2 linked regions of the Struthio camelus genome follow. The protein of the gene in region 1 purifies or fractionates together with the protein of each later gene. This does not show direct contact. Links are inferred from orthologs where the notes say so. Each region holds a gene or a part of one and is shown in the gene's direction. Other genes may lie near its edges.

Region 1 (11,268 bases):
TGCTGCCTGTCTTCTGGAGTACAGACTTTGGGGTCTGTGCATAGTGCAAGGCAGCTGAATAAGGACCCATACTGGGCAGGAGGGCGGAGGGACGATCTTCCATCTCCTCCTGGCCCGAAAACATGCAAGCTACAGCTGTAGCTGTGACATTTCCCAGCTTGGAGCCCGCAGCTGTAATTCCCTCCAAACGCCAGTCCCCACAGGGGTTCTCCCTGGGTTGCTTCCAGCAAACGGACCAGGACAGGTCCCTTCTGTACTTCCTCTGCAGCTCTCTGTGAGCCAAGCCGGGCAGTAACATTTGAGTATATGAAAAAATGCTCTTTTTTTTTAAATTTTGGATGACTCTTTCTGGCAAAGCCCTGCTCACAAGGCAGCGCGTCTCAAGGTGGAAAGATTTTCAGCCACGTTTTTCTTTGCAGTTAACGCTCGTGGAGTATTGTGTACATGCCTCAAGCAATTTTAAACCAGACTCCCTTCTCCTGGTCTAAGCACAAAGCTACTACATGCCTAGAAACAGCGGGCAGCACTGGCAGCAATAGCCGGCAACCAAACAACTCCTCTCCGAGACTGAACGATGGCCAGAAGCACAGAGTAAATGACTTCACGGAGAGAAACGGGCTCCAATCCATTAGAGTTACTTTCCTAGATGTCCATGCCACGAGGAAGCCCAGTTTTCAGGTGGAAGACTGGAGATGCGCTGAATTCAGTCAGGATTTCACTCGTGAAAACTGTCTTGTTGCGCTGGGTCAGAGCTTTTGAGAAAGTCTGAGCGCAAGGGTTTAAACAGAAAGCCCTGAGCTGTCAGAGCCGAGAAGATGCACCAAGCAAGTCTCCCTGCACACTTCTCGCTGACCTGGAGGAAACGCACAGAGCCCAGCACCAAGTCCACACTGCCGGCTCTCCTGCAAACTCACCCAGGTTAATAGATCCAAAGAGTTAACTGTCTTGTTCCCTCCCGGCTACGTACCACGCGGGACTGCCAAAGTATCCCGCTCAAACAGTCACAACAAGGCCTGCAGCCAGCTCAACATGACTGTATAGAGAGTTTATCTTCTAGAACAACCTAGAGCATTACTGGTTGTACAGGGAAGGTTTGGGAGCCTATTTCTTCTTCAAAAGACAGGGGTTTCAAAAACCAGAGCAGACACGAGGCATGATGTTCGTACACTGAAAGCAAAACATCACCCACTCCCCGTCGGAGCAGCCCACTCCGGGTTAGGCGATGGGACTGCTCTCCACCTACCAGCAAGCGTGATTTTTTCCCTCGCGCCTCCTAGCCCCTTCTCTGCCCTTCAACCACAACACAGGGAACGACTTCAAGCGCCTCCGCTGCGAAAGCTCTTTGTTCGCCGCGATCGCTACGCGATGAGATGATTTAGTGCTCTCTCCTGGCCACGCGACTCTGGTTTTCCTGGCCAGCAGACAGGCCACAGGGTCACGCTTGCTGTGCAGGAGAGCTCTTCTAGCCATTCAGAGGGATTCGCCAAGGGAAATGACACTTTGGAGAGGAACAAATCTGCCCTCGGTGAGACAGAAACAAAAAGACAGACCGACTTCCCTCCCAGGAGAAGCGCAGCTTCTCAGGACACTTCAGAGAAGCACAAGGGAAGGCAGTGCACTGAACGAGGGTGGACGCACGGAGACTTTGCGCGTGAAAGAGCGGAAGTGTAAAGGAGTCACAGCTTTCATGATTCTCAACCCCTTCATCAGCCCCTGATGTAGCAGGTCCAAGACCCAAGAGCACGTCCACAGCAGGTCTGTCGGCTCCAGCATCCAGAATTCCTCACCGCAACGCGGACAAGGCTGGGAAGAACCACTCTGCCTCCTGATAAGAACACAGATTTGGATTGTAAGCGTCCAAATACGCAGCGCTGGCTCCCAGCAGGCATCACGAGGCAGGCACTATGGCAAGAACTGCCGAGAAGCCTTCAGTGAGGGCAGCGATGCAGCCGAGCCACCTGATCTGCCTTCATCCTAGGAAAAGCATCCCTGCAGTGCCCGAGTCTGAGAGAAGAGATGGGACAAGGCAAACCCTGGCTGTCCCTGCTTACACTCACAGAGTTCCTCGTTTTCACGGGACTGGAGAGATGCAGAGAGCGGTGCAGCCAAATATGGAGGTACAGTCTTGCGAGCACCCTCAAGATCCCACCGCTCCCCATGGGGCCAGCTGGGTTTGGGCTGCTGAGATCAGCCTCTAAGCCAAACTGCAGCCGGAGGGAAGGCTGGGTTGCAGCTTCACAGGGCCAAAGGAGGGCCCCAAAACCCCACACGAGACGCGTGGGCTGTTCTGCCATCGCAGCGTCAGGTGGGAAAGCTCAGCGCTACCTGGGGCATTGCTGACAGGGTTGGCAGGGTTTTACGGTGGCTCAGCAGCAGCCTGCCATCCTTGAGTGATCTTTTCTCTCCATACGGGTCCACACGGGTTCACCAAGGCTCCGGATGAGCCCTGAAGAGGAGCTGCCAGTCTGCCAGGGAGGCGAGGTCAGTCAAAAAAGCCCTGCCTGAGGCAGTCCAAAGTCCATCCAGCAGTTTGGGTTGAAGAAAGGCATCCGAGGTGTTGGAGAACTGAGTCACAAACATGTCCGAGGCAGCTCATCCACTCCAGCCCCATGCGGGAGCTCAGTTCAGCCCAGAAAACTCTCCCAAGCAGAAGTTCATTAGGGCCTTCAGGCTAGAAATCTGTGAGGGCAATGAGTCCCATGAACTGTTGCATCACCCTGGGACCATCCAGATGCATTTTTAACAGCTGGTTTTACTCCTGGGGCTTCATTTTGCCCCCTACTACCTGTTTAGTACTCCCAAACCACAGCTCCTTTACTTTCCTTAGCCATCCTACAGCCCAAGATCTCTGCAAGAGCATACAACGCGGTGTTTTAAAACAGCCTGCTCCAGCTGTACAAACCTGGCCACAACCAGAAACACCCCGGGCTCCTCTTTCCCCACCTGAGGAAATCTGCTTTGCACCAGAGACCAAGCTGAAGCAGGCGAGACCATCGGCACCCCCCGGGGAAGTGCAGCGCCCCTAGGACATGGACGGCAGGGCCTTTCGCCTGCTTGGCGGCGCCGCCGCTCAGCCAAAGGAGCATTTGAAGGGCTCTGCGCCACAACCTGGACTTTGGATCCCTCTCGACAAGTCATAGAGGACACCGACGCCTCCTCGGAGGAGAACAGGAAGCACACTCAGCCTGTTCAAGCAGCTGCTCCTGCCTGCGATGAACCAATCTCTGAACTTCTACGTTTATCTCAGCCACAGAAGAACAGCTCGAGGCTATAAAAGCTGCAAAGTAGCTCAAGATCCCGGAGTTCAGGCAAAGCCCTGCGCCGGTCGGGCGTGTAGCCCCGTGGGTTACGGGCCCTGCGTCAGCACCTCGGGGCGCTCTCGCCAGCCAGCGACGGTCACACGTCACACCTGAGCCACCCTCACGGTCATGAGGCCCCACTGGCAGGGGCTTGCCAAGGCTGCTTGGATCAGAGGCAGCTTGCCAGGGACCCTGGCGTCCGGGGAAAAGGAGGGGGGAGCTACCAGGCTTTTCTCCCTCTCTGACATGAGCCCAGGAACCTGAGGGATCCTCAGTACCTTCCTCTCATCTACGAGGGACCCCAGGGTCCACTCAGATGTGAGCGGGCCAGGTCGCTGTGCCCCTGCACCAGGAACCCTGCTGTCCGAGGGATTTTGGAGATGGGTGGCAGCACCTCTCCTGGGACCCCACAGCCTAGGGGTATCAGGGAGGAGGAGATGCACTCCTTCCCCTTCAGGGATCCCCAGAGAGACGTACAACAGGACGTGACGGGATGAGGAAGTACCCCAGCACCCAACGGCAGAGCGGAGCAGGGGACACAGCGGGATGGGACACAACCCCCAGTGCCCCGTCACACACTGGGGAAGGACACAGTGGGACAGGGCACGACCCCCAGCACCCTGCCACACCACTGGGGGGGGGGGACACGAGGGGACAGGGCACGACCCCCAGCACCCTGCCACACCACTGGGGGGGGGGGGTCACGAGGGGACAGGGCACGACCCCCAGCACCCTGCCACACCACTGGGGGGGAACACGAGGGGACAGGGCACGACCCCCAGCACCCTGCCACACCACTGGGGGGGGGGGGGACACGAGGGGACAGGGCACGACCCCCAGCACCCTGCCACACCACTGGGGGGGGGGGGACACGAGGGGACAGGGCACGACCCCCAGCACCCTGCCACACCACTGGGGGGGGGGGACACGAGGGGACAGGGCACGACCCCCAGCACCCTGCCACACCACTGGGGGGGGGACACGAGGGGACAGGGCACGACCCCCAGCACCCTGCCACACCACTGGGGGGGGGGGACACGAGGGGACAGGGCACGACCCCCAGCACCCTGCCACACCACTGGGGGGGGGGGTCACGAGGGGACAGGGCACGACCCCCAGCACCCTGCCACACCACTGGGGGGGAACACGAGGGGACAGGGCACGACCCCCAGCACCCTGCCACACCACTGGGGGGGGGGGGGGACACGAGGGGACAGGGCACGACCCCCAGCACCCTGCCACACCACTGGGGGGGGGGGACACGAGGGGACAGGGCACGACCCCCAGCACCCTGCCACACCACTGGGGGGGGGGGACACGAGGGGACAGGGCACGACCCCCAGCACCCTGCCACACCACTGGGGGGGGGGGACACGAGGGGACAGGGCACGACCCCCAGCACCCTGCCACACCACTGGGGGGGGGGGGACACGAGGGGACAGGGCACGACCCCCAGCACCCTGCCACACCACTGGGGGGGGGGGACACGAGGGGACAGGGCACGACCCCCAGCACCCTGCCACACCACTGGGGGGGGGGGACACGAGGGGACAGGGCACGACCCCCAGCACCCTGCCACACCACTGGGGGGGGGGGGACACGAGGGGACAGGGCACGACCCCCAGCACCCTGCCACACCACGGGGGGGGGGGGCGGGCACAACCCCCGTTGCCCGCTGACCCCGGGGGGAAGGACACGGCGGGGCAGCTCCCGACCCCCGGGGCACGACGGGGGGAGGGGGGGGGCCCAGTCCTGTTGCCCCCCCCCTCCCCGGTAGGCCCGGGCGCCGGTGGTGCCAGGGCTGCGGGCGGGGACCCGCGGCTCACCGGAACAAGACGCCTTTGATGACCTGCCAGGCGTTGGGCGCCGGCTGCTGCCGCTGCGTCTCGGCCGCCGCCGCCGCTTCGCCGCCGCCGCCACCGGCGCTCCCGTTACTGGTCACCTGCTGAAGGGAAGCAAAGAGGGCGGACGAGGCCGTCAAACGCGCCCCACCGCTTCCCCCGGGGCCGCTCCCGACCCGGCCGGGGCCGCCCCTACCTGCTCCGGGCCCGGCCCGGGCCCCGCCGCCGCCGCCGCCGCCGCCGCCTCCGTCTCCGGCGCCGCCATCTTGCTGCGCCGCTACTCGCGCGGCTCTCGCGAGAGGGGACGAGCGGGCGCGAGCTGGCGGGGCGCCGCGTCACGTGACGGCGGGCGGAGCCGGGGCGGGGCTACGAGCTGGGGGCGGGGCTACGAGCTGGGGGCGGGGCTACGAGCTGGGGGCGGGGCGCCGGTAACGTTACCGGGAGTTTCTCAGGGGTCCCGTGCGGGGGGGGGGGGAGGTGAGCGGACCGGACCGGGAAGCTCCCAAGGGAAGTCGGCACGGTTCTCGGGGCGGTGACTCGGAGGGTGCTGGAAGAGGTTCCCGGGAGGCTGCCGGGGGATCCCGGTAGGGGTCCCGCAGACGGTCACCGGGAGGCTGCCGGGGGCCCGGGCAGGGGTCTGCAGGGGGGTGACCGGGAGGCTCCCGGGGGCCCTAGAAGGGGTAACCGGGAGGCTGCCGGGAGGCTGCCAGGGGATCCCGGTAGGGGTCCCGCAGACGGTCACCGAGAGGCTGCCGGGGGGCCCGGGCAGGGGTCTGCAGGGGGGTGACCGGGAGGCTCCCGGGGGCCCTAGAAGGGGTAACCGGGAGGTAACCGGGAGGCTGCCGAGGGCCCGGGCAGGGGTCTGCAGGGGGGTGACCGGGGAGCTCCCGGGGGTAACCGGGAGGTAACCGGGATGGCTCCCGGCGGCCTGGGCCGGTGCCCCCATATGCTGCCAGGCCCGGGCAGGGCTCCCGCTGCCCCCGTGGCCAGGCCCGACCCGCTCCGCTGCCGGTGGAGGCGCCGCCCGCGCGGGGTTTCCCGGCCCGCCCCGCGGCGATGACCTCAGCGGGCGCAGCCAATGGCGGCGCCGCCCGCGCGGGGTTTCCCGGCCCGCCCCGCGGCGATGACCTCAGCGGGGGCAGCCAATGGCGGCGCCGCCCGCGCGGGGATTTCCAGCTCCGGCGGCCGCGCGGCCTCGGCCTGCGGCGGCGGCGGCGGCGGCGACGGCGGCGGCGGCCGGGGGGGCGGCGGCGGCGGCGGCGGCGGGGGCGGCACCACCACCACTACCGGCGGGATATGGCCTTGCCGCTCGGTGAGCGCGGGGCCCCCGCTGCCTGCCGCGGGGGGCAGGGCCCGCTGCTGGGGGCGGGCCCGGGGCCTGGCCGGGTTGGGGGAGGGGGGGGGTCGGTTGCCTTTTGTTGGAGGAGGGGGGGGGTACGGTCCTGGGGGACCCTCCCCGGTCCCCGTTTTGGGGGGAGGCAGGTCCCTGCTGGCGGTGGGGTGGGGTGTGATCTCGGCCCCCCCCCTTCTCCCGGTGCCTGTACTAGGGGTTTGGCGGGGGGGGCAGGGTTCTGGGGACCCCCCCCCCCGGTCCTTGTGATGGGGGGGGGGATTCGGGTGCTTGCTGGGGGAGGATGTGATCCTGGGACCTCCCCCCCCCCCCCGAAGTTCCTGTCTGGAGAGATTTTGGGGGGAGCAAATCCCTGTTGGAGGGGGGTGACGTTCCCCCCCCCCCAGTCTCTGTTGTGGGAGATTTGGGGGGGTGCAGAGTGCTCGGGGAGGGGCACAGTCCTGGGGACTTCCTGATTGCTGGGCTTGGGGGAGGCAGATCCATAATGGGAGGGGAGACATGATCTTGGGGACCCCCCAGTCCATGTCCTGGGAGATTTGAGGGGGAGGGCAGAGCACTTAGTGGGGGGCACAGTCCTGGGGAACCCCTGATCCCTGCTCTTGGGGGGGGGGAAACAGATCCCTCCTTGCTGGGGGGGGGGACACGATATTGGGATCCCTTCCACCCCAAATCCCTGTCATGGGAGGTTTTGGGGGGAATAAATCCTTACTGGGGGGCACAGTTCTGGGGACCCCCCCCAATGCCTGCACTGGGGTTTTTTTGGGGGTACCCCCATTCCCCACCCTGGGGGGAGCTGTCACCCTTGAGACCCCCCTGGTCCTGTCGGGGGGGGGGGTCCTGATCCCAGAGGTGCCCCTCCCCAAGTCCCTGCCCTTGGCTGGCAGGAGGCCGAGGTCCCCTGTGCCGTTAGGTGGGGCTGAGAGGGTGCACCCTGGGGTGACAGCGCCGGTGTCCCCGCAGGAGCTGCCCTCCAGGATCCCAGCTTGGCCATGGCGCACGCCGCACCTGTGGCTGGTAAGAACCCCCCCCATTCCCCCTCCCTGTGGTGCTCGGGGTGGCGGGGCCCAGGCGTCCGGGCTTGGCGGGGGAGAGCCGTGCCTCCTTGGGTGCGAGTTGGGGCAGGGGGGTGCGGGAGGAAGCCTCAATTTTTTCTTTTTCTTTTTTTCCCCTTCCTTTTTGCAGACGATTTAGGTGAGTGGACCGTGGAGGGGGGTCGGTAGGCGCAGCCCCGTGTGTTGGCAGGACCTCGGCCAGAGCAGCATCTCGGAGCTTCGGGTGGTAAAACCGGAGATCTCCGACAAGGGGGTCCCTGCGTGCACCTGAAGCAGCTGGATCCATCCTTTTCCGGGGCACCACGAGCAGGAGTTCAGGGTGCAGAGCTGTGTCCGGTCGAGCGAGCTGCCCCCGCGGCCGCCGTCCCGGAGCGTCAAGGATCGAGGGGATCGAGGGGAAAAGACTGAGTAACACCCACGGGGATGCGACGGGCAGGAGGGTTGGGGCATCTTGTCCCCTAGCTGTGGCCGCTCTGTCCCAAGCGTGGCGGAGGAGATGTTTGTGGGTGGCAACGGGGCAGGATCTGGCCAGTCCGTCCATCATGTGGCGGATGGGAGTTGTCGGGGCTGGGTATTGAGGGATTTGTGGCGGGCTCGGGCACGTTATTCCCTCCTCGTCCCTCAGAGATCATTGAGGAGCTCATCAAGGAGGACGGTTTCCAGCCAGATCCGGCCCCCGCCTTGCCCAAGCTGTTGTCCAAAAGCTCGGCCAAGCTGGTGGCCCGTGGCTCCAGCCCGACGGTGGCCACCCGGCCGCTGCGCCCCGTTGAGCCCTGCCCGGCGACGGCCGGGCTGGCACCCTATGGGACCCCGCACGGCCCTGGGGCCCCGCTGCTGCCCGCCGACACGCGTTCGCCGCAGCTCGCCCAGAACCTCAGCACCCTCTCGCTGTCGCCCAAGCTGGTGCCGCGGGGCACGGCGGGCCCCGGCGGGCGGCACCGCTGGTCTCTGGGCAAGGACCAGCTGGAGGAGCTGCTGGAGCCGCCCAAGCTGGTGATCACGGAGCAGCCCAAGCAGCGGGGCATGCGTTTCCGCTACGAGTGCGAGGGCCGCTCGGCCGGCAGCATCCTGGGCGAGAGCAGCACTGATGCCAGTAAGACCCTGCCGGCTATTGAGGTGAGCTTCGGAGGCAGCCTGGGGCGCGTGGCTCCCTGCTTGCTCGGAGGTGGGGACCGTGAGGTCCTACGGGTGCTGGGGGCCAGAGTCCTGGGATGTCTGGAGCCTCATGGGTGCTGGGGGAGCGTTGAAGCCCTGTGGGTGCCATGGGGTGTGGAATCCCCATCAGTGCCAGAGCCAGGTGGGTGCTGGGGAGGTGCTGAAGCTCCACTGATGCTATTGCCCCATGGCTGCCAGGGACTCAGAGCCCCATGGGTGCCAGAGGGCTGCTGGAGTCCCTTAGGTGCTTAGTGCCCCTCCATGTCTCTGGGTGCCCGTCCCTGCTCAGAGGGTCTCCTGTGTCAGAGTAGCAGGGATGTGCTGACAGCTCATGTCTCCCTGGGGTAGTTGGGTGCTGGGGAGGGTGCTAGAGCCCCCCGCAGGGGTGCTGAAGCCTTGTGATTATCACGGAGCTGGAGCCCCATGGGTGCTGGGGGTGGTGCTGAGATCGCAGAAGGTGCCGGAGCCCCACGGATGCTGGGATGCCCGTATTCCTGGTGCCCCCCCCCCCCCCGCGTCGGTTTAGCCGGTGCAGCGCCCACAGCTCGTGTCCCACCAGCTGCTGAACTGCCACGCGATCCCTGAGGTGAAGGTGACGGCATGCCTGGTGTGGAAGGACTGGCCCTACCGCGTCCACCCCCATGGCCTCGTGGGCAAGGACTGCAGCAACGGGCTCTGCGAGGTCGTCCTCAAACCCCAGACCAACCCCAAGCACAGGTACGGCTGCGCTGTGACACTGGGATGAGTCCTGTGGCCTGCAGGGAGCTGTGCCAGGCTGGTGCGGGGAGCAGAGATATCCCCCACCCACCCCAGGACCCTGGCGTCAATTCGCAGAGGTGCTGTGCTGAAGCTGGTGACGACTAGTTGTCTGCATTCCCTAGGAGGGACGTGGGGTCTCGGAGGTGGAGCAGGGGGGTGGGATGCCTGGAGGTTGGAGCGTACTGGAGGTCGAGCTGTGCCCTGTTGTCTGCCCGTGGCTTTGGGGGCGCCCAGGCACCGATGTGTTCCTCGGTGGTCGTTTAACTGCCGTCCCTGGGTGCAAGCGATGCCTGTTTTGGAGATGATGGAGCCACGGTGGTCCGTGCAGGGCCTTGTCTTCTGGGAACGGACACGCTGGGGAACTGCCCAGCCCCCTGAGACAAAGCTGAGAGGAGCAAGGTGCCTGGGTGCCCTCAGGTTCTGCAGGGGGGAGCTGCCTCTCCAGCACGCCTCTGCTCCCCCGGCAGCTTTAGCAACCTTGGTATCCAGTGTGTGAAAAAAAAGGAGATCGAGATGGCGATAGAGAAGAAGCTGCAGCTGGGCATCGACCCCTTCAAAGGTGAGTGGCTTGAGCAGAAGCATTTCTTGGGGGCCTGGGACCCCCGCTCCTGGGCAGCAGCTGATTTTTGCCTTCTTCTCTGCCCCAGCTGGGTCCCTCAAGAACCACCAGGAGGTAGACATGAACGTGGTGAGGATCTGCTTCCAGGCCTCCTACCAGGACAGCGCTGGGCAGATGCAGCACCTCAGCCCTGTGCTCTCGGAGCCCATCTTTGACAAGAGTATGTGGAGGAAGAGAGGCTTTGGGTCACTGGCGGGGGGCTCAGCCAGGCCCCTGGTACCTCCCTGGCTTCAGCGGGTGGCCATGGGGCAGGGTGGCCCATGAGATTGCACCAGCCGGTTCCTTGCCAGGGCCGGGGCTGCGAGGTTTGGTCGGAGATGGTCCCCTGTGACTGGTGGTGTCCTGAGGGGAAGCTGGTCCCCCACACACAGGGGATCTGGTCACCCGTGTTCTGCAGGGTTGGTACCTAGTGCTAGGGGTGCTTGGGAAGAGATGATGCTAATGAGAGTCCCTGTACCCTGAGCCTGGTCTTGCTGCCCAAGCCTGGCCCCAGGGCTGGGTGATTTTGGAGCCACATTGCTGTTGCTGCACCACAGGACCCCGCAGGGCAGCTGTGGACCCCTGTCCATGCACGGCACCTGAGCACCCCTGAGCTGTGCTCTGGTGCCCCCAGAATCCACCAACACCTCGGAGCTGAGGATCTGCCGGATGAACAAGGAGAGCGGGCCGTGCACGGGTGGCGAGGAGCTCTACCTGCTTTGCGACAAAGTCCAGAAAGGTACCAGCGGGCGCTTTGGGAGCCTTGTGACCCTGGGGGCGCCAATCTACCACCCCAGGAAGTGAGAGTGGGGGTGAAGGAAGGTGACAGAGGCTGGAGGGGGCTGGTGCGCTTGAGGGGTTTGGGGATGGGTCCAAAAGGAGTCTGGAGATGCGAGCTGTGATCACCCCCAAGTGCTTCTGAACAGCCTGGGTGTCGGAGGGGAGGGATCATGGGGGAGTCTGGCTGCCCCCTAGTCATCCTGCAGGGGAAAGGACCCTGGGGTGCTACAGGAGTGTAGATGAGAGGACCCCGGCTAATGATAGGGGAGGGATCCTGGGTGCTGGCGAGGGGCCCGGGGGTCCTGCTGCCTTGCAGGTGCAGGGGATGGGACCTCAGGGTGCTGGAGGGGGGTAGGAACCGCTGGGGGCTGGAGAGGGTGACCTTGGGTGCTGCAAGGGCTCCTGTTGCCTCCCTGACCCCTCTTCCTCTGCA
Region 2 (10,972 bases), on another chromosome or scaffold:
AGCTGAGATTAATCCAGGCCAAAGACTGTACAGCGCAGGTCTTCAGGCTATTTCCCGGCTCAAACAAGCCTGTAGTTTCAGACTGTCCTGCATTTTCCCAGGCTACAGTGTTTTGACCTATAGATCCCTCAGATAAAGGGCTATTTTTAAAAAAACACACACACACACATACACACACACACAAATATATATACGTACATAGCCTAGCCCTTATTATCCATTCAGTTGCACAGACGCGAAGACAGAGCATTGCTGCTAAAGTCTCTGAGCTGACAGTTACACAAGGAGGATCATGTTTAGAATGAAATTTTGTTAACATGTCTGGATTTTTGTCTGTTCACTTTATAAGCTTGGAGATTTTAGTGCACCTTTGTTTCTATCGCATCCTGCATTTGGCCAGTGGCCAAAAGCAGGATGAGTTAGGTATGATCCCCATTCAAAGGATAAATTCACCCCTCTTGCCCAATTTCATACATTTCTTACACAGTTATACACGACGAGTGACAGAAGGAGCTAGAAATTGCCTTGCCCACTGCAGTACTCTGTGTAACAGTGAGTGTTGCATGTCCTTGTCAGGAAAAGCATCAAGTGAGAACTTTGCTGTCTGCCTACCAAACATAGACAAAACTGATCTCCTGCTGCAGTTTGGGTCACCTTATTCACATAGTGATTCCTATAATGGCAGAGGAGTGCACAGTGAAAGGACAAGAGGCAACCAACAAAAATCAAATCTCTGACTGGAAAAATTCTTCATTGTACAAATGGTCAAGCACTGGAACAGGTGCCCAGACAGGCATCCTTGGAGAGACTGAAAGTAACTCTGCGATTTCAGTCAAAGTTACCACAAGAGGGCAGCTGGGCTCATTTCCAAAAATATTGGTACCTGAAGGGAACCCCATTTACCCTGGTTTGTTAGAAAACTTGGCCTTGCCTCCAGGCATTGAATCTTTCGATAAACATGTTCCTATTTTACTCTGTTAGACCAGAAAGTTAGACCAGTATATACCCAGCATAGTATAGCTCAGAGTTGATTTGCTATGAGATATGCAGAAGAGCAAGCCAACGAGAAACCCTGTCATTTTTCCTGTGGCTTTCCTTGTGCTCTTGGGGCCTCTACTCCAAGTAGTGGAGTGGCACATGTAGTTTGTTCAGGGGCTGAGCTGGAGCTGGAATTGAGGTAGAGGTCTAGGTTGCTGCTTGCGGTACCCAAAGACATCCCTGGTGTTGAAAGCTTGGTTGGAGCTTCCCCGGACTGAGCCCTGGCATCTTCCTGATGGACTCAGGAACCCTGCTGATGGAGACAGGGGAGACAGGGCTGCATCCCTAGGGAACAGGGCAGCCCTGTTGTGGAGTAGGTCTAAAGCTGTGTGGTGGACATTTTGCATGGGGGAAAATCCACATGGGTGCTGAGGTAACAGAGGCAGCAGTAGCATCGCTGCAGTTAGGTCAAGCAAGTTTTGCGCTCTGAAAGAGGCTCAGCAGCTGTCACAGTGCTTTTCTGGTACCCCAAGGAGACAGCATTTGGAGCCCTGCCTTATTCAGTAAACCACGCAGTCCTGGGCCAATCCTGTGAGGAAGTGAGACGTAAAAAGAAGTGGAAGCAGACTGATCCCTCATTCACAAAGGCCAAAATGTCTCACGTTGAAGAATCTTCCCTAACATCAGGATAGAGCTGTGGAGGGCCAAAAAGAAGTTGTTAAAGTGTCATAGGAAAGAGCACCTGAATCTTAGATTAATAGTTGATCATATAAGATGATCTTAGCCTAACCTCAATGATGAATGAGAAAACAGCCAGAACCAGCCAAAAAACAGTTTGAACTTGCCTTGTCATCCCTGGGGGGAGGGGGGGGCCTGCTGGACTCCAGAGAGCTGCACTGTTGGTGGTGACATTTGTAGTGTAGATGCTGTGAGTTTGTTTTATGGTTATTAAAATACTGATGGTTACTGAAGTAACCCCTGATCGAACCCTGCAACGATCCCAAATGTTCCATCTGTTCAAATTCAAATACATACCATCTAACTCTGGTCATATCACCTGAATTACTATTGCAATAACTGTTTATAATGATTTCAGGTACAGACACTGCTTAAACATGGTGGGGGAACACAGCTGGGAGTTAAGGTACCTCTGCTGTTCCTCAGACCAGACACAGACTGTGCATAATCTCCCCTTCTGCAAGTGTCCCAGACTCATCTCATTATCTCACCCAGTTAACAGCTTGAGGAACAGTGGAAAAGAGGAAGGCACCAGGCTCAAGCTGCCATTGAAGTAGGCAGAGCTTGGGTTCAAGAAGTCAAGTGCAGAGATCTGAGTTTCGCTTAGGAAATTAAAGGGCCGTACTTCAGGGCAGCACATTATCAGGGACAGTACCGGCATTTGCAGATCACCTGGGGAGTCCTTTCCACGGACAAACACTGTCCCCAAGCTCCTGGAAGTGCAGTGTGGTGGGAGCGCCTTTCTGAGCTGGATTTCTTGTTGGTGTCTGTTGGAGAGGTTATTTTAGGCAGGTAGTTTTGAGTGGCGTGTGTTGACGCTGACCTCTAGTGGGAATAGATTCCTTTCTCTATTTATCCCTGCAATTTTAACCATTCTAAGTGATACATTTTAAAGAGAACTGGAGAGAGGGTAGAATTAGGGCTTCATTTTTTAAATCCTCAAAAGCAAATCAGAGCATGAAGACTAGCCACATATTGTATTTAAATGTGCTTACTCCTGCCACCACCACCTCCCCAGAAAGTATATACCACAGTCTGGATTGAAAGCCGTGAAGAGACTGGAAATTCAAAAGCAGTGTGGCTAGACAGAAAACTTCTCTGTTAGGCAGAGATCATGAAATGGAGCCGAAGCCTTGCTGAATGAAAGACAGAAGGCAAATAAGGAGATAGACTGACAAGCAAAGTTCATGTCTGAGATTTTCCATGCAAATTATCCAAAGGGACAGCAGAAGCACATGCACCTGGAAGAGAGGTGGCAAGAAGCTGGTGACTGAGCTGGGTATTAGTGGAGGTAGTGAGAAGGCCAGAGCACAGAGTGGTTGGACCTGGATGCCTGGGTTGTATAGCTGGCTTTTATAGGGAAATATCTGGTCTCTGCTGTTCAGCACACACCACCACAGTAGACCACTGCAAGACAGGCCTGGGAGAGCACTAGCCTGCTCTAGAAAGTTCAAGGCTCACGTTAGGGAGGCCGTGACATCACTAGCTCCAGCTAAGTTCACATCAGCAGCAGAGGAAGGTCACTTTCAGGGGCAGTTTTGTAGACAGATAACGTAGTACAGTTTGCTGTGGACTGGACTGTGGAGTCACAAGTGGTGTCTGCATACCGCAGCTTCCAGCGTTTCCACTTCCCAGGTGAGATGAGCTGACTGCGTACATTTCCCTTGCACTGTGCTGAGGCTGAGAAGCCCTGCCAGAACCTGTAGCATGGGAAGGTGACGGAGTGATGCTTCATAAAGCCAGCCTGCAACTGGCAGGAGGTGTACCAAGTCCACGTGAATGAACATATGATGGATCTATCTTAACTGCACAGGAAACATAGCAGTTTTTTTGTACGAGGACCCCAGGGTCAAGGGCCTTGAGCTGCATCTCCGCAGAGCTGGCTCAGCTCTCCAGGGCTTATTAGCTCAGGCTCTGTGCTTTGGCTGAATTGCCCCTCAACCTGTGCTAGCCCTGGAATCACAGAATCACAGAATCGTTTAGGTTGGAAGGGACCTCTGGAGATCATCTAGTCCAACCTCCCTGCTCAAGCAGGGTCACCTAGAGCATATTGCCCAGGATCACGTCCAGACGGCTTTTGAATATCTCCAGCGAAGGAGACTCCACCACCTCTCTGGGCAACCTGTTCCAATGCTCTGTCACCCTCACAGTGAAGAAGTTTTTTCTCAGATTCAGATGGAACTTCCTGTGGTTCAGTTTCTGCCCATTGCCTCTTGTCCTGTTGCTGGGCACCACGGAGAAGAGGCTGGCCTCATCCTCTTGACACTCCCCCTTCAGATACTTGTACACGTTGATGAGATCCCCTCTCAATCTTCTCTTCTCCAGGCTGAACAGGCCCAGCTCTTGCAGTCTTTCTTCATAGGAGAGATGCTCCAGCCCTCTAATCATCTTGGTAGCCCTAAAGCAGTGGAAGCAGTGGAAGCAGTCTCCACACCTATGCCACAACTGGGACAGGGCATCACGAGATAACTGAGGGGCGACTGTCACTGGGGCAAAGCCAAGCAGCAAGTAGTTCACAGAAAAATGAATCCTTTGTGGATCAGTACACAGGTTCCTGGTTACTGATAGGGCAAGGCAGGGATGCTTTGGTATATAAAGGGAGGATACCTGTCCATTGGGGAGATCACATTCCTGTTCTGTAGCAGCAGTCACCACTCTGCAGGACATTTGGAAAGTACTGATCTCACCAATGTGGATTTCACCAAATACCTGATTTCATCCTTGCAAAAGACTTTAAGAAATCAGTCTGTGATGGGGCTTCAATAGGGTACTAGAGAAAATGGCAGAGGTACGTGGGAAGGTATTTTATGGTACTCCAATAGCAGCTGGGTTCATAAAGCTGGAAGTAGAAATTCTGGGTGAGTAGGAAGAAAGGGGTAACCTTTGGGCTTTACTCTGTGGATCTGATAGCAGCCTGCACTGGAGCAGAAGTAAAGGTTTGGCATACGGCTTACAGACACTGAGATGACTGTCTAACTCCACAGTTTCTGTGCTGCAATTGGGATCAACTGTGATGGTAACAATTAGTGAACACCCAAGATCCAAGACAGTCCCAGTAAGATTCTGCCCAGTGTTGGGCCCTACAGGTTATCAGCCTTGCATGCAAGGGGATCAGGAACGTCAGCTGCAGATGCATCCTGCACCCTAAGCCGGGAGGCAGCCGCTGCCAAGGAGTGAGGGTATGCATGGCTATATAACGGGGATAATTGCTCTGCATTGAACAGAGGGGATGAGGCACAGGGAGAACCTCCTTTCCCATAGCGCGTGCAGTCCTCCATCCAGGCAGTGCCAGAAACACAAGGAGAAATTGAAGCAGGTCCTGAGAGTAGGAAAACGTGTGACTGGAAGTTACTGATGCCCACAGAGACTTCCTCTGCCTGCCTCCGGCTGTGCTCCCTCTGCCCTTATGCCCCCAAACATCTCCTTCTGCCTGTGTGGAGGTGCTTTTCTTGATTAGCTTGCATGCAGCAAGGCTGTGGTTTAAGGCCTGGCTGGGCAGTGCTAGGAGAGTGACGCAAACCTGAAGTGGCAGCTGCAACATAGGAGGGGGAAGTCATTTGTGCTTTGCATGTGGTTTGTGTGAGCTTTGTCCCTGCATCCACCACCAAGCTCTTCCCAGGTGAGCTCCTCTGCAGGTGTGTGGCACGGACAGATCCTTCCTCTCCTACAGGAAAGCTGGCCACCTTGCAGAGAGGGAGGTGAACTTCAAGCAGCAGAAGTAACAAGTGAAACTGATTTTAAAGAAGTCACATCAGCATTCAGAGCTATCTAGATTCTTTTCTGAGGAAAACTCATTTCTTGGGACGTTAGAAAGTAGCTAGATAAAGGCTACGCAGGTCCATAAGCTGGGTAGCTTTGATCTTGGGAAGCAGAGCACTGAAATGCAGCTGGCTCAATAGTTCTCAGGCAAAGATCTGTGCCTTTGTTTTTAGCTTTTATATTCTGCTTTGATCTTCATGTACTGGATGCCTTGTGTGAGCCCTTGCACCCACTCTGTGCTTTAGGCTTGCTATTAGTAACGCAGAAGTATGGTGTGAAGCAGCTCAGGACAGAGTGACTTGTATCCTGGCTTTTCCCTTCACCTGTACAGGCAGAATAGGCAAGACGGTGTCTCAGTGGGTGAGATGAGTTAAACCATGCACATGGGAAAAGCATACCTCTCGTTCACACCTATCTCCACTACCAGTAAGTGACATCTACCATATCGTTTCCCACAAAGCCTGAGGCTGTAGTCAGCACTTGTGCATGTAACAGCATCCTCACCCACACAACCTGGTTCGACAAGGTCCCTCTCCCACCTCGGGCAAACCTGCCAGTTATTTAAAGAACCAAAACAAATACACCAAGGGAGGAGGCAGGTCCAGGACACATCAGCACATGCTGTCCTGTGTACGCAACGTCCCCTGCGCACCCCAGGCTGCCTGGCCCTTGCACGCACACGCGTGCCCACCTGTGGCTTTGCTTCCTCCCTCGCTCCTGAACCCCTCGGGGAACGCAGGAAAACAGCCCTCCGTTCAGGGGACGGCTCGTGGGAGCAGGGCGGGCGACCCGGGGTGTTGTATCCACGCGCGGTGCCAAAGCCCGGCGTCGGGCCCCGCGGGCGGGCCAGGGGCGAGCCGCGAGGCCAGGGCCGGGGCCGGGGCCGGGGCCGCGCTGCGGGGAGGCGGCGCGAGGCCGGGCGCGGGGCCGCGCTGCGGGGAGGCGGCGCGAGGCCGGGCGCGGGGCCGCGCTGCGGGGAGGCGGCGCGAGGCCGGGCGCGGAGCCGCTGCCCGGCGGCGGGGGGAATCCCGGGCAGGCGGGGCCGGGCGCGGCTGAGTCAGTGCGGGCAGGAGGAGGAGGAGCCGCGGCGCCTTAGCCTCTGCGCCGGCCGCGGCCCGCCGGCTTTCCGGCCATGAGCCCCCCGGCGCCGGGGCTGGGGCTAGGGCTAGGGCTAGGGCTGGGGGGCGGCGGCGGGTGCTGAAGCGCTGCGGGATGTCGCGGGCAGCGGGCGGCGAGTGCCGCAAGGAGGCGGCGGGCTGGGAGGGCGAGGAGGGGCAGTGCGACTCGGGCATCGAGTCGCTGCGCTCGCTGCCGGGCGGGCGGGAGGGCGCTGGCGCCGCCGAGACCCCGGCCGCCGCCGAGACCCCGGCCGCCGCCGCCGAGACCCCGGCCGCCGCCACCGAGGAGCGCCTGGACTCCAGCTACGGCTCCGGCGCCCTCCCCGAGCCGCTGCCCGGGCTGCCGGCCGTCTGCCACGCCGAGCCGGAGCCGCCGTCGCCGTCGCCGGAGGGGCTCAGCCAGCAGCAGCTGGAGGCGCTCACCTACATTTCGGAGGACGGAGACACGTGAGTGAGCCCCGGGCACCCTGCCCTGCCCTCCCTGCCGCGGGGAGCCGCGCTCTGCCCCCGCAGGTGCCTCTGCACCGCTGCTCTCCTGCCCCTCCATCCCCCGCCAGCCCGGGCTTGGCCCCCTCGGCTGCTAGCTGGGAGCCGGTGCCGCAGAGATAAGGAGGTCTTTATCTGTAGTGGCCCCCAGCCGCTAGTTTCTCCCGAGGAACAGCCAGCCGGTCAGTTTGTGGAAGACTCCCTGATCCCCTGTCCTAGAGCCTCCAGTTGCAGCTCACGCACAGATGCTTGGCTCCATGACGTAGATTTGGGTGGGTAACCAACAAGTGATCCAAGGCAGGTCTGGCAGGGCAAGCAGGGATAGGCAACCCTGCTCCTCTGAGCATGGCACAGAATGGACCCACTGCAGGAAACCAATTTCCACTTGCTATGGGGCCACTAGCAGCTGGATGGTGGTGTGAGAGCAAATCACCCTGCCCCCCCTTCCCTGGAGGATGCAAAACTTCATCACCAATGGACCTGGCTTCTCTGTATGAGACGGCATGTGAGCAAGACCCAAAACAAGATCAGCTATGCAGGGCAAGACCTGGTGGGCCTCCCACAGATGCTGCTCAGCTGAGCAACCTGTGAACTACTTGTTCTCTGGTCAAAATCATCTTGCTTTGCCTACCCACCAGCTGAGGGACAGCTCTCTGCAAATTTGTGGCCCACGCTCTGCCGAGGGGAAGCCCTTCTGAGTCTCTGTGATGGAGAGAACCTGTTTCTGTTGATGAGGGGGGCTTCCCACGTTCGTAATGCCCTCTTGAGGGCAGAGACATCATATTGGAGGTATCTGGGTTGGCTTCTGGTAACTGCATTCAGCTAATCATGTCTCTTTCCTGTTGTATGTTCCCTCAACGGAAGATTTTCATCATAAATGAGGGCAGAGTATGAGTGAAGCGCGCTTGCAGCTGAGAAACGCAAAGCTTTGACCCAAACCCAGGCCAGAGTTGAATACTGAGTAATGGTGCAAGAGGAAGAGAAACTAAGAGGCACTAACACCAGCAAGACAGATGAATTAGTAGTGTCCACGCAGTAGGCTTAAACAGGAGCTGCGAGGAGACTCTGTCCTCACCTCAGAGCACATTTGTCTCTGAGGCTGAAGATGAGATGGGAGCAAGCCCAAGTGTTTACTTCCTGGTTAGCGAGGAACCTGTACATCTGCTAATTAGTTCATTAATGTTCACTGTGGGATCCGCTCGGAAGATTGGTTGGAAGCCTCACAGCAAGCAAAGTTAGACTAAACGCAGCTTCCCACGCTCCCCGGTGGGGCGCTTGGATAGCTTCCTACTGCTGTCCTATCTATCTGCTGGCTTTGCAGCTCCTCCGCGTGGGAAAATTCGCCAGCTTACACAGCTGTAACTCCAGAGCCAATGTGCCCACAGAGAGAACCACAGGTCTTAATCAGACCGGTGGAAGTAATGCTGCAGGAAAGCCCCCTCGGTCCCGTTATGTTGTGCTGTGCCAAGGCTCACCAGTCTCTAGTGAGCCCAGTAGATGCAGCTGTCTGGAGATGCTTTTCCTGTTTGAGTCTGTCTCGCAAGGTGGCTGAACCCATTGCTTGTCAGACTTGCTTGGCCAGAACATCACGCAAGCGTCTAATTAACTAGGGAAACATTAATTGGCGCTGCCTTAGTTACTCTAGGCAGGAGAGGCTTTCAGAGAGCTTTCCAAGTGGTTGCAGTTGCTCTTCTGTTTTCTTTCATGCCCAGCACAGTTTAGAACAGGAAATCGGTAAAGAGCGAAGGAGGGAGTGAAAAGTCTGCTCTTAGTGCATTTTGTACAACTTGGGGCTAGGGAGGTCAGTGCAGGGAGTCTGCTTTCCTGAGATCTGCTCCCAGTGCTGGGAAAAGAACATATTCTTGTGGTCAGAGTGGTGAGGTTGTGGACTTCTGCCTCTTCTATTCCTGACTTGTCTCCTGACCCTGTGGGAGAGGTAGGTGGCATTTATATTTAGAAATGCTGAATGTCTGCCGCTCCACTCGATGCAAGTAGGACTGTGAGCGTCCAACATCTCCCTGAACTGCCACTACTTTTCTATGCAAAAACAGACTGTGGTTAATAGCAATGCTAAAGTCTGAGGAAAAATCACTCATCAAGTGATTGGGGGTCCAGAGAAAAGGGATCAGATGGCCATAGGCCGCTTCCTTTTCATCTAGCAAGGCGGACCTGACAACTTCTTTTCATCTTGGTCAGCTGCGCTTTATCTTGTGTATCTTGCTTGAACATCTGCCACAAGACAGATCCAAGACAAGACTTAGAATCATAGTATCATTATTTTTTCAGCAGACTTGGGCGATAACACTTCCTTGTAATCATTGTAATTCTGAAAATACAAAAAGTTCAGGGCTTTAGTCAAATAGTTCCTGTTTCCCCAGCTGTCCCTGCTGGTACCCGGAGGAGCAACACTCGCACAAAAGGAGCGGATGAAAGTATTGGCTGCCCGTCTGCCCTACCCTTCCAACCTGCACAGCTTCCCCAGGCTTGCCTACCTGCGCCCCCTTGAGGTGTGTTTCTCAGTGTGGCCCGTATGGCAGAAGTATACAGGGTGACTGCAGAGGGGAGAAGCAAGTGCTCAGATAGTTAAAGTCTCAGCAGGATCTTCCTTGGATTACTTCCTGCCACCTCCGCAGAAGTACATTCATCGAGGCAGGGTGAAGCAATGGGGCTAAAACAGACTGTCCCCTCCTTCAAAATTAGAGGGGCCTGGTTATGTAGGAAGGAAATTAGCTAACACAGGAGACGTGGGTGTAATGGCCAGTGAAATGTGTGGGTACCTCTGTCTGAGCAGACGTCTTCCAATAATCATTTGCTAAAACCTCAAACCCAACCACCCTTTCCCTGCGCAACTGGTAGTCCCTGCCTTGAGGAAGTCAGAGCTGTAGTAATTGGGCAATGGCACATCAGCCTTGGAGCAGGATCAGCAGAGCTGCAATAGCAGGAGAGGTCAAGGAATGGGAGGAAACCCGAAGCGACAGGCAGAGGATGGCGGATGCACTTAGGGCAGCAATACCCTGGTTATTCCATGGCAGGGTAGAGAGCAAGCCCTGCCAGAAGGCTGCTCCCTTGCCCTCAAGCTCAAGCTCTCTCCTCCAAGCATCCATCTCTTCCTTTTGAAGCAGCTCCTTTTCTGCTGAATTGAATCCCAATGGGATTGCTTTGCATGGAAGTGAAGAGAGGGGCTTTCCAGCTGCAGGAATGGCTAACTCTGGGCAGGCTGCAGTTTGTTATGGTTGTGCCCTGGCCTCCAAACAAACTCAACCTTTGTTAGGAGTCACCGAGGAAACCCCCTTGTTGCTGGCCTCGCCAGGCACGAGAGCTGCGGTGTCCTGGGAAAGGGGTGGGTGTGGGACCAGCTCCTGCAGGGCGGGATGGGATGTGACAGCATTGTCCGTTGCATTCCAACACTAGGGAAAACCTCTCCGTTTGCTAGGGCTTCTGGCAGCCTCTGGCAGCTCTAGAGAGACAGAGCTGATTTATCAGTGTGGGAAATTAGGTTGAGCTTCCTCTCTCTAGAACTATATGTTCTGTCTTAAACATGTTTCCCTTTCTTGCCGTCTTGGTCCTTGGGCCACGCGCCAGTTTGTCATCAGTACCTGATGCCACGGTGATGGGCTCCCCGGCAGCGGGCAGCTAGGCACGGTGTAGACAAGGCATGTCAGCACACATAGTCTTGCTCTGAGCCAGTCGGCCGCGATGTGCTGCGCAAGGCTTGGTGCTATGCCTCTGCAAAAGGGTGGTGGTTTTCTGCACGGAGCTCTCTAGGCAAAGCAGCATGGCTTCTCTGTGGAGGTGAAGGTCAGGGGTCCCCAGCTCAAATCAGAGAAGAAAGATCTCATCGTCCTTCAGATGGAAAATGGGACAGAGCAGTTTTGGTCAGGCGCGTGTGTGTA

The links.
Region 2: the proteins of RELB (region 1) and NFKBIE purify together in Homo sapiens (affinity purification with mass spectrometry; 3 studies listed by BioGRID and IntAct, counting the BioPlex papers as one, with this or other methods). This does not show direct contact. The link is inferred for Struthio camelus from reciprocal best matches to the Homo sapiens genes RELB and NFKBIE.

What each region holds. Positions count from the first base shown.
Region 1 is NC_090957.1:1,341,623-1,352,890, reverse strand, and holds the start of RELB (transcription factor RelB), read left to right. Parts: upstream 1-6,361; 5' UTR 6,362-6,436; coding exon 6,437-6,452; intron 6,453-7,451; coding exon 7,452-7,505; intron 7,506-7,673; coding exon 7,674-7,682; intron 7,683-8,168; coding exon 8,169-8,659; intron 8,660-9,257; coding exon 9,258-9,415; intron 9,416-9,924; coding exon 9,925-10,016; intron 10,017-10,104; coding exon 10,105-10,236; intron 10,237-10,689; coding exon 10,690-10,794; intron 10,795-11,268. Other genes in the region: putative lipid scramblase CLPTM1, read right to left, coding at 5,126-5,244, 5,337-5,405.
Region 2 is NC_090944.1:104,510,877-104,521,848, reverse strand, and holds the start of NFKBIE (NF-kappa-B inhibitor epsilon), read left to right. Parts: upstream 1-6,562; 5' UTR 6,563-6,687; coding exon 6,688-7,040; intron 7,041-10,972. UniProt on the Homo sapiens protein: Sequesters NF-kappa-B transcription factor complexes in the cytoplasm, thereby inhibiting their activity. Sequestered complexes include NFKB1-RELA (p50-p65) and NFKB1-REL (p50-c-Rel) complexes.